Arabidopsis thaliana: one gene and its partner. The main gene of each other region encodes a partner of the protein of the gene in region 2 in a complex. Each region holds a gene or a part of one and is shown on either strand. Other genes may lie near its edges. A codon is read from its position in the direction of its gene.

What was found.
Region 1: the proteins of AT1G79010 (region 2) and AT3G03100 are in contact, whole or in part, in a cryo-EM structure (PDB 8BEE), measured with the Arabidopsis thaliana proteins. Residues at the interface, in NP_178022.1 of Arabidopsis thaliana: Pro90 (codon at 3,144), Val92 (codon at 3,138), Thr93 (codon at 3,135), Ile94 (codon at 3,055), Asn95 (codon at 3,052), Tyr96 (codon at 3,049), Pro97 (codon at 3,046), Phe98 (codon at 3,043), Glu99 (codon at 3,040), Lys100 (codon at 3,037), Gly101 (codon at 3,034), Pro102 (codon at 3,031), Leu103 (codon at 3,028), Ser104 (codon at 3,025), Pro105 (codon at 3,022), Pro181 (codon at 2,466), Phe183 (codon at 2,460), Glu184 (codon at 2,457), Arg206 (codon at 2,312), Trp207 (codon at 2,309), Thr209 (codon at 2,303), Glu210 (codon at 2,300), Glu213 (codon at 2,291), Asn214 (codon at 2,288); in NP_566192.1 of Arabidopsis thaliana: Asn38 (codon at 2,461), Leu39 (codon at 2,464), Gln41 (codon at 3,247), Thr42 (codon at 3,250), Thr68 (codon at 3,328), Gln69 (codon at 3,331), Arg72 (codon at 3,619), His73 (codon at 3,622), Arg74 (codon at 3,625), Trp75 (codon at 3,628), Val76 (codon at 3,631), Glu77 (codon at 3,634), Tyr78 (codon at 3,637), Tyr84 (codon at 3,655), Ala86 (codon at 3,661), Ser87 (codon at 3,664), Ala91 (codon at 3,676), Glu92 (codon at 3,679), His94 (codon at 3,685), Gly95 (codon at 3,688), Leu97 (codon at 3,694), His98 (codon at 3,697), Phe99 (codon at 3,700), Ile100 (codon at 3,703), Thr101 (codon at 3,706), His103 (codon at 3,712), Leu108 (codon at 3,826).

Annotation. Positions count from the first base shown.
Region 1 is NC_003074.8:704,422-709,547, reverse strand, and holds AT3G03100 (NADH:ubiquinone oxidoreductase, 17.2kDa subunit), read left to right. Parts: upstream 1-1,850; 5' UTR 1,851-1,969; coding exon 1,970-2,061; intron 2,062-2,441; coding exon 2,442-2,468; intron 2,469-3,245; coding exon 3,246-3,337; coding exon of another isoform or gene 3,338-3,341; intron 3,342-3,616; coding exon 3,617-3,726; intron 3,727-3,825; coding exon 3,826-3,984; 3' UTR 3,985-4,167; downstream 4,168-5,126. Other genes in the region: XPO1B (exportin 1B), read right to left, coding at 56-172, 484-582; VGT1 (vacuolar glucose transporter 1), read left to right, coding at 4,969-5,013. UniProt on the Arabidopsis thaliana protein: Accessory subunit of the mitochondrial membrane respiratory chain NADH dehydrogenase (Complex I), that is believed not to be involved in catalysis. Complex I functions in the transfer of electrons from NADH to the respiratory chain.
Region 2 is NC_003070.9:29,722,880-29,728,604, forward strand, and holds AT1G79010 (Alpha-helical ferredoxin), read right to left. Parts: upstream 4,150-5,725; 5' UTR 4,055-4,149; coding exon 4,001-4,054; intron 3,607-4,000; coding exon 3,528-3,606; intron 3,400-3,527; coding exon 3,346-3,399; intron 3,225-3,345; coding exon 3,133-3,224; intron 3,056-3,132; coding exon 2,942-3,055; intron 2,696-2,941; coding exon 2,628-2,695; intron 2,546-2,627; coding exon 2,434-2,545; intron 2,355-2,433; coding exon 2,259-2,354; 3' UTR 1,917-2,258; downstream 1-1,916. Other genes in the region: HAC1 (histone acetyltransferase of the CBP family 1), read right to left, coding at 1-153, 238-499, 637-751, 912-1,105; AT1G79020 (Enhancer of polycomb-like transcription factor protein), read right to left, coding at 4,403-4,645, 4,732-4,983, 5,057-5,125, 5,212-5,262, 5,447-5,494, 5,588-5,668. UniProt on the Arabidopsis thaliana protein: Core subunit of the mitochondrial membrane respiratory chain NADH dehydrogenase (Complex I) that is believed to belong to the minimal assembly required for catalysis. Complex I functions in the transfer of electrons from NADH to the respiratory chain.

The DNA of each region.
Region 1 (5,126 bases), on a different chromosome or scaffold from region 2:
ACGGGAATGCTAAATAAAGAGAAGAGCAGGTATAAGAGAACACTAAAACACTGACCTGAAGGGCAAAAAATTTGGTATGCGTACTACTGGTGTTCTGTAGAATGTGAACAACTTGAAGCCAAGTATCAGGATTAGCTTTCAAATCCCGCAAGATATTATCCGCAGAAGCTCTCTGCAAGGTGTTTTCAAACATTCTTATCTCATTGAAAGCACACATATGCAAACATCGTTTTTACACACAAATTACATTGTTTAGTGTTTTTCCAGATAACAAGAACAGCCACAAACAATCGAAACCTATCTCTAACCCAGGAAAAAGAATTAAGCAAAACTCATCCAATTCGTATCGCAAATACTAAACCCTCGCCTAACCCCCAAATCGATAGAACGCATTAACAGTGAATAAGAGACCGCTTAATGTGGTGGCGATACTCGTTCATCGTTAAAATTCTCAGAGAAATTATGATAAACAACGGGACTCACTTCTTCCTTAGATCCGGTAGAGTAAAAGGCCTCAACAGTGGCATCGAGTAAAACGACGTCAATCGGCTGACTCAAGTCTCTTAACTTCTCGGCAGCCATGGCGGAGAGGATGCGCAAATTCTAGAAGAAGAGACTCGATACGAGAGTGAAATCAATGGAGGGAGACAAAGTTCGAGAGAGAGGGAGAGAGTTTTTTTTTGGGTAGAGCGGTACGGAGGAGAGGCAGTTTAAATATTGAGAGAGGTTTTTGAAAGACAGCTTAAGATTGACGCAGGCGACGCTGAGAAAAAGGCCTGACTTCTAATTTTGTTTTCTCTTCTTTTTTTTTCGTTGACCGCCTCAGGGTTTGAATTTGTATACTCTACAGTCTACGCTACTCAAATATTTACTAGGATTGTTTATTTTATTCAAAGATTTACTTTAAGGAAAGATTATTATAAAATGAAATGCAATCATATAGATTAATCAAATTTCCAACACTTTTTGAGGTTTTACAAAAAAAAACATTATTAAGTTTTATTTTTAAATAAGCTATATTCAATCACTAAGTTGTAGAACTTTATTATTTTTATTTAATGATGTTCATTATTAGATTTTGTATGATATTATTATATAAAATAAAATTGAGTGTTTTTTTTTTTTTTGGATTTATGTATTTATGTCATATTATTATGTTTGCATTAATTAATTAATAGCATTTTCCCCAAATATTAACTTTACTTTCTTTCTTTTTTTGAACACGGAACTTTACTAAGTAGTAGTATTCATTTGATCCCATGAAATCTAAGCTAAGGAGTAAGCTTGGAAAAACCTTAACAATAGGAGATCTATCATTATATTGAAATCGAGTTTACCATTCGTGAAGATATGATTATAATACGTTGTGTACTCTTAGCTTGTAAAATGGCTAATGGGATTTACTAAGAGAGGAAGAGAAGTGAACTGTTAATGTTATGATCATCAAATGCTTTGAGGAAAGTGGGAAAAACAGATTTAGCTATGAAGCTAATGCATAGCAAATTGGAATGCGTAGTGTTAAAACTTAAAAGGCCTTTTTTTTTTTTTTTTTGGGTTTTATAATGCGTAGTGATTTCCTTTTTTTTGATAACATATACAAAATGAATTTCCTTTTTTTATTTTTGAACAACTCCTTATGAATAAATACACATCATCTCTTCTTATTCACTGAGAAATCAAAATTACAACCCTATGAATGTATGATCTAATGCTTTGAGGAAAGTGGGAAAAGCAGATTTAAATCTTGTATTTCTTGATATACCAAATCATAGTAGAAAATGTATATTCATATGCTTCTCTGCCACATCATCATGGGGAAGGCCATAGCGAGCAAGTGGCCCAGGTAAACACAAAGCGTAGCCCAACAAATACAAAACGATGCGTTTAGCAATCGTCATCATGTCCCTTGTTATTTCGACAACGAAATCAAATCCCGATTCCGAGAGAGAGAGAGCGATAGCGGAAGACGATGGCTTTGACGGTGGCGAAGAGTGCGTTGGAGGCGATTAGAGAGAAAGGTCTCGGCGGTTTCATGAGGATGATCCGAGAAGAAGGCTTCATGTTAGTTCTCTGTCTCTCTTTTCCAATCTCTCTTCCTCTGCTTAATTTCTTCAGGATTATACCCTCGATTTCATTAGTTAGATCCCAAATAATCTAGAAATTTACAAGAATTTTCGGTGTTTGTTGAAGTTTGTTTGCAATGAATGGTTATCATTCTTCGGTTTTTTTCACTCAAATGTTAAATTTTCTTGATGTGAAATGAAAATCAAACACTTTGTTTTTGGTGAACATCAATTTTGAACGGTGATGGTGATGCTTGAAATTGGCATAATGTTTCTGGTTGCTTATAAGTCTAAGATCTTATTGTTTGTATTCCGAGGTAATCACTAGTTTATGGAATTTCTCTAATTGCTTCTTTCAATTTTTTTTCTTCATTGCAGGAGATGCCTACCAGATGGGAACCTCTTGTAAGTAATTTATCTTTGATAATTAGTGCTTAGTGTTTCACTTCTTTGTGGATTACGAATATGATTCAAGTGGTTGTTCAAGAGTTCTTTACAGACCAAGTTCATTTTCATATTCTTATATGTGTATGTTGTTGTGTGAGCGAACATAATTTTGTCAGATTCATTATACTGTGAACAGAGCTCGCCAATTCTTGAACAGCTTACTATTCTTTGACTTGGACTGCTGATAGATGTTATGTTAGTTGATTTTGGAGTTCAGTAAAGAAACAGTGACAGTAAATGATGGTTGGTATTCCAGAGATAGTGTAGTTACATGTTTGAAGGAATTGACAATATTATGCCATAAGGCTATTCAAGTTGATGAGGAATAAGAGCTCAAAGATTGGTGAGGCCTGTTAATGGTGATGAAATTGGCCTACAAAGTAGTCTTGAAACTTGAAAGATCTTAAGAGTCAAAATTTATGTGCCTCTTTCACCAAGTCTATAAGCTGGATTTGTCGTTCTCATAGGCTCTAGATAGTTGGTGCATTTGGCTGAATATAGAGAACCTTTTCCTCAGATCATTTCTTTATGCGTAATATACATATAACATATACTTAGTGTTGCTTCTATGTTGTGTATTGAGATGTTGGAAGCATGTATATATGGGTCACATAGTATATACACAGTATGCTTGAATATTGTGTCTTATTAATAGTTTCCCCATTCTTTATATTGTAGCTTGCTGTTGAGTCGTATTTTCTGATCAATACTGTTTTATTTCTATATTTGATGAAGGCAAACTAAAATACATAACATAGGAGCGACACTTGTTGGTGTTGACAAGTTCGGTAACAAATACTACCAGAAGCTAGGCGATACTCAATACGGTATGTAGTTCCTTTAACTTCATGTTTTACCTATATAAAATCATGCTTTAACCTAAAAAAATTGATGCCACTGTAGGATTCATGATATTTGTTACTAAATATTCAGGGAATAACCCTTTTAATATTGACTTCAAATGTTTGTTTATTCTGAGTGGTACAGTCATGGAAATTGTAGCCACTCACTCAGCATTTGTTATTTGTTAGCTCACTGCATGTATCTTAATAGAATGTTTAGTCAAGAGGCTTTTACATTGAAACAAGCAATCACTTTGTGAACAGGTAGGCACAGATGGGTAGAGTATGCTTCAAAGGATCGTTACAACGCATCTCAAGTACCAGCTGAATGGCACGGGTGGCTTCATTTCATCACTGATCACACTGGCGATGAGGTAAAACCAAGAGCCATTTCAAATTCGCTGTCTCGTTCAATCAATAGATAATATATTGCCTTGTAACTTGATAATAAATACCAATGTCTCTGTTTCAAGCTCTTGAGTTTGAAACCAAAAAGGTATGGGCTTGAGCATAAAGAGAACTTCTCTGGAGAAGGTGATGCATACATCTACCATTCGAAGGGACATACCTTGAACCCGGGACAAAAGAACTGGACTCGGTACCAATCATGGGTACCCACCAAGACTCAGTAAGAAGATGATATTTTGGTTTTACGCTCTGCGAGACTTTCTCTCGAGTGATTTGTTGTTTTGTTTCTGTGTCATTTTAATAAAAGCTGTCTTGGATCTAAAGCTGGACAATTGGGTTTCGGATCTGGAATTGTAATTGTTACTGTGTAATAATTTGCTGATTATTAAGTTTCTTGTTTCTTCACCTCTGGCTAGGAAAGTAGAAAAGTTCTAATAAGTAGAAGTATTTAAAAATATATTAATCAAATAACTTCATCGAGAAAAATATCTTTCAAGATTTTTTTTTTCTTCGAAAATCTTCAAAGAAAATTGAATACAGAGTTTATGATCTAAAAACAAAAAACAAAAAAAAAATCTTCCAACAAAATCTTAATACTATTAATACATCTAAATGAGAGATTTTTCCCAAAACGGATTATGATAACCAGATAAATCGAACGCAGTGCCAGCAACAAAACGTTTTTAATGGTAATTAAAAATTTAAACGAGATCAGCACCACGTTTTTTAATTATCCTTCTTCTGTCGTTTTTATGGTCAACTTTGTTATAAAAAAAAATTATAATCTTTCTAAACAAAAAAAAACGAAACTGGAATTTTGATTAACAGAAACATCCAATATCAACATTTAATTGGTTTTACAATTTAAAAACAAAAAGGGTTTCACAGTTTGACTCTCTCTATTTATGCTAACACACTATTAAGACTAATTTCCTATTTTTTTAATTGAAAATCAGAATCTTAATTTGAAATTAAGCTCCGACTATTTAAAGCTTGTCCACTGTTCCGTTAACATCTATAATCACCCTGGCATACATACTTGTCGTCTCCCTTCCTCACGTTTCTCTCCTCTGCAAATTCGAAGCTCCGTTGAGCTCGAATCAGAGAAGTAGCTATTTCGTACAACCCCAGAACGATATATTTTTTTCTGGGTTTCCTTGAACATACCACACTCACGGTCACGGGATCCATACCAAGCTTCCGTAGCCATGGGGTTTGATCCCGAGAACCAATCGATCTCTTCCGTTGGACAGGTTTCGCTTTTCTCATTATCGTCTTCTTTTCCCCATTCTTCTTTCGGTTTAGGTTTCCGATAGCAAATTGTACTGATTTTTGTTGGTTCTTCTCCCGGTCGGCTTTGAAGACT
Region 2 (5,725 bases):
CATTATTGCTGTTGTTATTAGTACTACTGTTGACAAATCCAGGGGTAGGCATCATCTGGCCGGTATTTCTCTGGGAGCTCATGGATGACATGTTCCCTCCAGACCCAAGACCAAAGTTACTCGATGAATGTTGGTATCCATTAGACAGGTTACCTGCAAAGAGAAGTAAAGGTGTTCAGAAAAAATATGCGCAGAAAATTTTATGCCCATATTTTATATAAGTTGTAGTGAAAGAACCTCCAAGCATGCCACCAGAATTTAGCAGGTTTCCAGTGTTCATAGCACTAGTTGTGATGTTATTACTTCCAGCCATTGTAGCATCACCTGAGGAAGTAATCATCAAATTTGGATTCCCACCACTGTGTTGTAATCCTGGAGTGGGTATCATTGTTCCAACCGAAGAAGAATTAGCGTGTCGCTGATTGTAGTTATTTAACTGCCTGCCTTTGATTAGACTTGCCAGCCGAGGTTCAAGGGTTGACGGGTTCACGTAATCTTCCTGCGATTCAAAATGGAAGTGTAGCACGTTAACAAGAAATTTCAAGTTAGGACATTAGCCAACAAGCTGGATCTAGTGGCAAAATTTTAAATGCCAAATACGTGCCTATCCTTTCCTTAAGTATATTAAATAAATACCTTTGTGTTAGCAATTTTAAACAGCCCCTCCTCTAAGCGTCTAGCAACATCCATATATTTAGCCTTTGATGCTTCATCAGCTGGAGATGGTTGCTTTTGCTGTAAGATATTGAAACTGAAAAGAAAGAAGAGAAATACACGGATTTGATTGGCGATAAACTGGAGATATTGAATCCAATCCAAAATAAATAGCCGTATAACAAGAGCAAGGAAATATAACTGCAAAATGGTGGGAAGACACCAAAGTCAAAAGCTTGAGAAAAGCAAAGGCTTACATCCTGATTCGCATAGCCTGCCGAAGTTTCAAGATGTCATTGTCAACGGGAGAAACGCGTGAAGGTCCTAAACCAGCACCAGTAGCAGGAGCTGAACCACCACCAACTAAATTCTGCATTTGGGAGTTCCCATTTTGCTGGGACATAGTCCCTTGGTTTGAAACCTGCCCCGACATGTGAGCCTGAACATTCATAGCTACCTCTTCAGTCTCCGTCGCCTTGTCCTAGTTCTTCTGGTAATTAACAGTAACAAACACTGCATAACTTTCCTCTCCTCCAGAAGTCACAGTATCCAAATTTCATCTCCTGATTTAGCACCTTAGAGAATGTCCTGCTAAAAAAACTTGGTGTAATCAGAGAACTGAAATTGTCACAATTTGATCTCATATTAATTGGGAGATAGTATCAATCATAGTATCAACTAAAGAAGTAATTAAACCCCAAAATAGTTACCAAAAATGAACAAAATGATAAACCCTAAAAATTCACCCCCAATCTTTGAATTGATACAAAAAGGAGTAAAATTTGGCAACAAAGTGGAGAAATTTGACGGAGACCAACCGGTTGCTACAGATTGTACGATGATTGGAGTCTGCACAATGAAACAAAGCCGGTGAACAGCCGATGCGGCACGTGTGAACTCAAACCAAAAGCGAGGTCAGAAATTAGGATCAAGCAGTAGACAAATCCCAGAAAGAAGATGGCAAATCAAAAGCGAATGAATTCAGGTTTTCCCAAATCGGGGGATGTTCTGGGCTTGTAGGTTCGTCGAATTTGGGATTTTTCTTTGGACTCGCTCGATTTGGGGATTTTGTTTTTTTTTTTCTTTCCTTTCTAGGGATTCGTTGTTTTTCTAAAATAGTAACTCAACAAAAAATACACATTAAAATATTAATTTTGCTGTCTGAATACGATAATTGGCGCAACCAAAAGGCAAATAAATGAAAAAATCGACAAGCATTATGTTTAGATCGGACAGATTAGGATAAACTATAAGCATATGATCCTGTCCGTCCGCCGTAAAAAAAAAAAAGACATGATCTTGTCCGTCCGATCAAATATTTCTTAATGTACAGATATACCCTTGTAGCTTAAGACTTATCTGTTTTCAGTCTTTGACCAAATTAAATGCTCTTTCTCCGAACCGAAAACACCTAATAACCGGAACTCATGAACCGAAAATCAAAGTCAGGTTGGTTACAAACAATTCAATTACACAGCACAAAATCTGGATTACAAAAGAGTTTTCACACGCATATGATCTCGTCTTTATTTTCAAACAGAAGCAACGAAAATGTTTCCCCGGGAAAAACAAGTTGAATGAAGCAGAGACTGTTGTAGAATGGTTCAGCGGTAGAGACTCTCCGACCTCAGATTCTCAGCAATCTCTGTCTCCCATCGATCTCCATTCTCAAGAAGCTTCTCTTTGTCATAGAGAAGTTCCTATCATAGAGAATATAACAAAAATTTCAATAAGCATGCCTCGAAAATTATTAGGGTCTAGAAAATGTGAAAAACAGACCTCGTGTGTCTCGGTTGCGAATTCAAAGTTAGGTCCTTCAACGATTGCATCAACGGGGCAAGCTTCTTGGCAGAAACCACAGTAGATGCATTTTGTCATGTCGATATCGTACCTGTACGATACAGCTCAAATCATCATGAAAGGGTAATAAAGAAAGCAGATGGTTGATAAATGAGAACTAAAGGGATGATGACCTAGTGGTTCTGCGGCTTCCATCTTCCCTCTCTTCTGCCTCTATTGTGATTGCTTGAGCTGGACATACCTGATGAAAAGGACAAGTATCCCTCACAAGAATTACAATCCGTGGTGAACTTTTATACACACTAAATAGATCATTGTCAGCTAATATGACCATTTCATCAGAACTCTAGAGACTAAACAGTAAATATTACTCATACTCAAATAGCTTTCCTAATTACTAAGATGAATTTGATAGACTCAGAGTACCATATCAGAACAAAGAGAACGTTAAATTAAATGAAGGATTCATATCGATCTCAAAACTCACAGCTTCACAGAGTTTGCAGGCAATGCAGCGTTCTTCCCCGGTAGGATATCTTCGAAGAGCATGTTCACCACGGAAGCGAGGGCTCAGAGGACCCTTCTCAAATGGATAATTGATCTGCATACACGAAAGAGCTTCAGTAACACAGATTTCTTTCAATCTAAGTTTGGAAGACTAGAAAAGATATCACTCACAGTAACTTTTGGATCAAAGAAGTACTTGAGGGTCAGCGACAAACCGCGGACCATTTCTGTGAGGAACAGGGTGTTTATGCTCCGTTCAAAGACTACAAATTTGAGAATATCAGGAATCACTAATACTCGGGGAGGAAAACACCAAGGAAGATAGACGTACAAGAAAAGAAGAAAGGAGAAAAAAAGTAAAATTGTCTAGATCATATGGATTACCAGTATTCCAGTCCTTGGAGATTTCCTTAGAAAGTTGCTCTGCTTCTTCATCATCTGAATATTACATACGCAAACCATAAGTCATATATGAATCAGAATCTCGTAATACAAGTTGGAAAAGGGGTAGATTCACAATTAAACCTGATTTACCAAAGAAAACCAAACAAGAGCAGAAAATATACCTTTGTTGCTGCCATAAGATATACCACGGGACTGCAGTCTAGACAGATGAGATCCCTGTAAAGCTTGCCCTGACAAAACCTATCAATGTCGAGAAGTAATCAGAGAGGTATTCAGAACATACACACCATATCAAGCTAATGAAAGGATTAAAGCTCGCAAAAAAAAACAAAAAAAAATTGACTTGCGAAAAGGCTTTCGTCACAAAAATTAAATGCGAAAAAGAATAAGGAAACCATAAGTAAAACGAAAGCCCTTAAGATGAACCATGATCAAATTCAAATCTCCCTACATGATTTCATCGATCAGCTAGATAAAATCCAGAATCTCGTCGACACAAAACAAAACACAGAGAGTGAATAGAATCATCTTAAGCTCCCAAAACTCCAGGAGACATTCCCATTTCTAGGCATTCAAATAACTCTAACTAAAGGACACAAAATGAAGAAATAACAAGAGCGAACAAGATTCATACGAGATGTCGAGCACGGAGAGTATTCAGTGACCTGCGAGCCAAAATCGAAGCCATTGATGGAGCACCCAAATTCCGATTTAGGTTCCTTCCTTCTTCACTGCGATTGATGAGCAAACCTGAACTTCCGATTAAAATCAATAAAGAGCCCTAAAATCCTATTTTGTCCTTTGAGTTGAAGATATTATTACAATTTGGTCCCTGGTACAATAGTTTTTGGTTTTCCAAACCGCCGATAGAACCGGATTTTGAATTAAACAGATTCTTTCCTTAACCGAAAATAAACAGAAATACACACAATAACCAGTTAGTTACAAAGTGCTAAAACTTATTTAGCTGAGAATCGTTATTGCATACACCATTGGTGATGGAAAATTCTTTACAAAGCAAGATTGTGAAAATATCTCAATCGAAGTTGGTAGACCGGTGATTTGGAGCAATGTAATAAGAGTTTCCACAATTAATGTGAGATTGCATCAACGGATTCCATCTATCGAAAATAATTCGGCCACCACGCCCAATCCTCCCCTGAAACCGACTTGGAGGTTGACCTGGTGATGAATCCGGTGTTGGAGGAACAATCCCTGCAGCTGCCAGTTTATCGGGAACCAGCGGTTTTGTGAATAGCATTACCGGTTCATTAGGATCCTAAGGAACAAAATCATTACAGGTTTGCTTAAATGATTGATTATAGTAGCTAGAGAGAGCTTAGGTGTTGTAAGAGAAGGTTTTACCAGTCTGTGAAGCCATCCATGCTGTGACTGTCGTCTTCTAACTTCTTGTTTGATGCCTCCGGGATGAGATGCATTCAGATTTAAGTTGGTGAAACGAGAACTAGGAATAACCGCAGGTCTTGTACGTACACGAGTACTGGTGTGATCATCAGAGTCCATCAGTTCATCATCGCTTGAGCCAAATTTGTATGATGTTGTAGTGGGTTGAAATCCAGGCATAGCCAAGCTATCTTCCAAGAGCTCTGTTTCATGCTGCAAAAAAAAAAACAATTTTAGACCCGGAAAACGGAAAACAGAGAGTTTTAGAGGAAGTAGAAGTAAGTACCCTGTATTGGAGTTGGATTCTCTGAAGGCTAACCTCACTGTCCATGACATCCCTCTTCTTCTCTTCTCTCTACGGAATGGGTAACATCAAATTAGCAACTTTGGAGAATGCAATCCGCTTGTTAAGATAAACACTAAAACTGTCATATAGAACACCTTAATGAGAGCCTCCAGAATGCTCTGTGCTTGGCCTAGATTGCGTCTAACCTGATAATAACATATCCCATGTATTCAGAATCCAATAGAAAACCATAAAAGAATCACTAACAGATCATTAACAAGCAGAAAAAACAATGTTGTCCAGAGAGAAACTAAAAGAAGGCACTGTAAACGTAAATTGCTCAGATTTCAGGAAATTAAAGAACCATAAAGGTTCAGGTGCCTCACTCACCTGTCGAAGCTTTTCAAATGACTGCACATTGTTTTCTCTCCTCTGCATCTGAAGATGAAGTAAAGCCTTATCACTATTTTTCTTTCTCCAGTTGGATTTTAATAGAAAAAATGTCGCACATGCATAAAAAAGACAGCCTACCCTTCTTGTGTGGAGTCTGTGAACTTTCTCCCTTGGCCTAAACACATTATAGGGATTGGTGTCATTAACCGGTGGGGGAGGCTGTTCCAAACAATGAAGCAAAACATTAACTAAATAATCGAGGTAAGATGCCTTTCC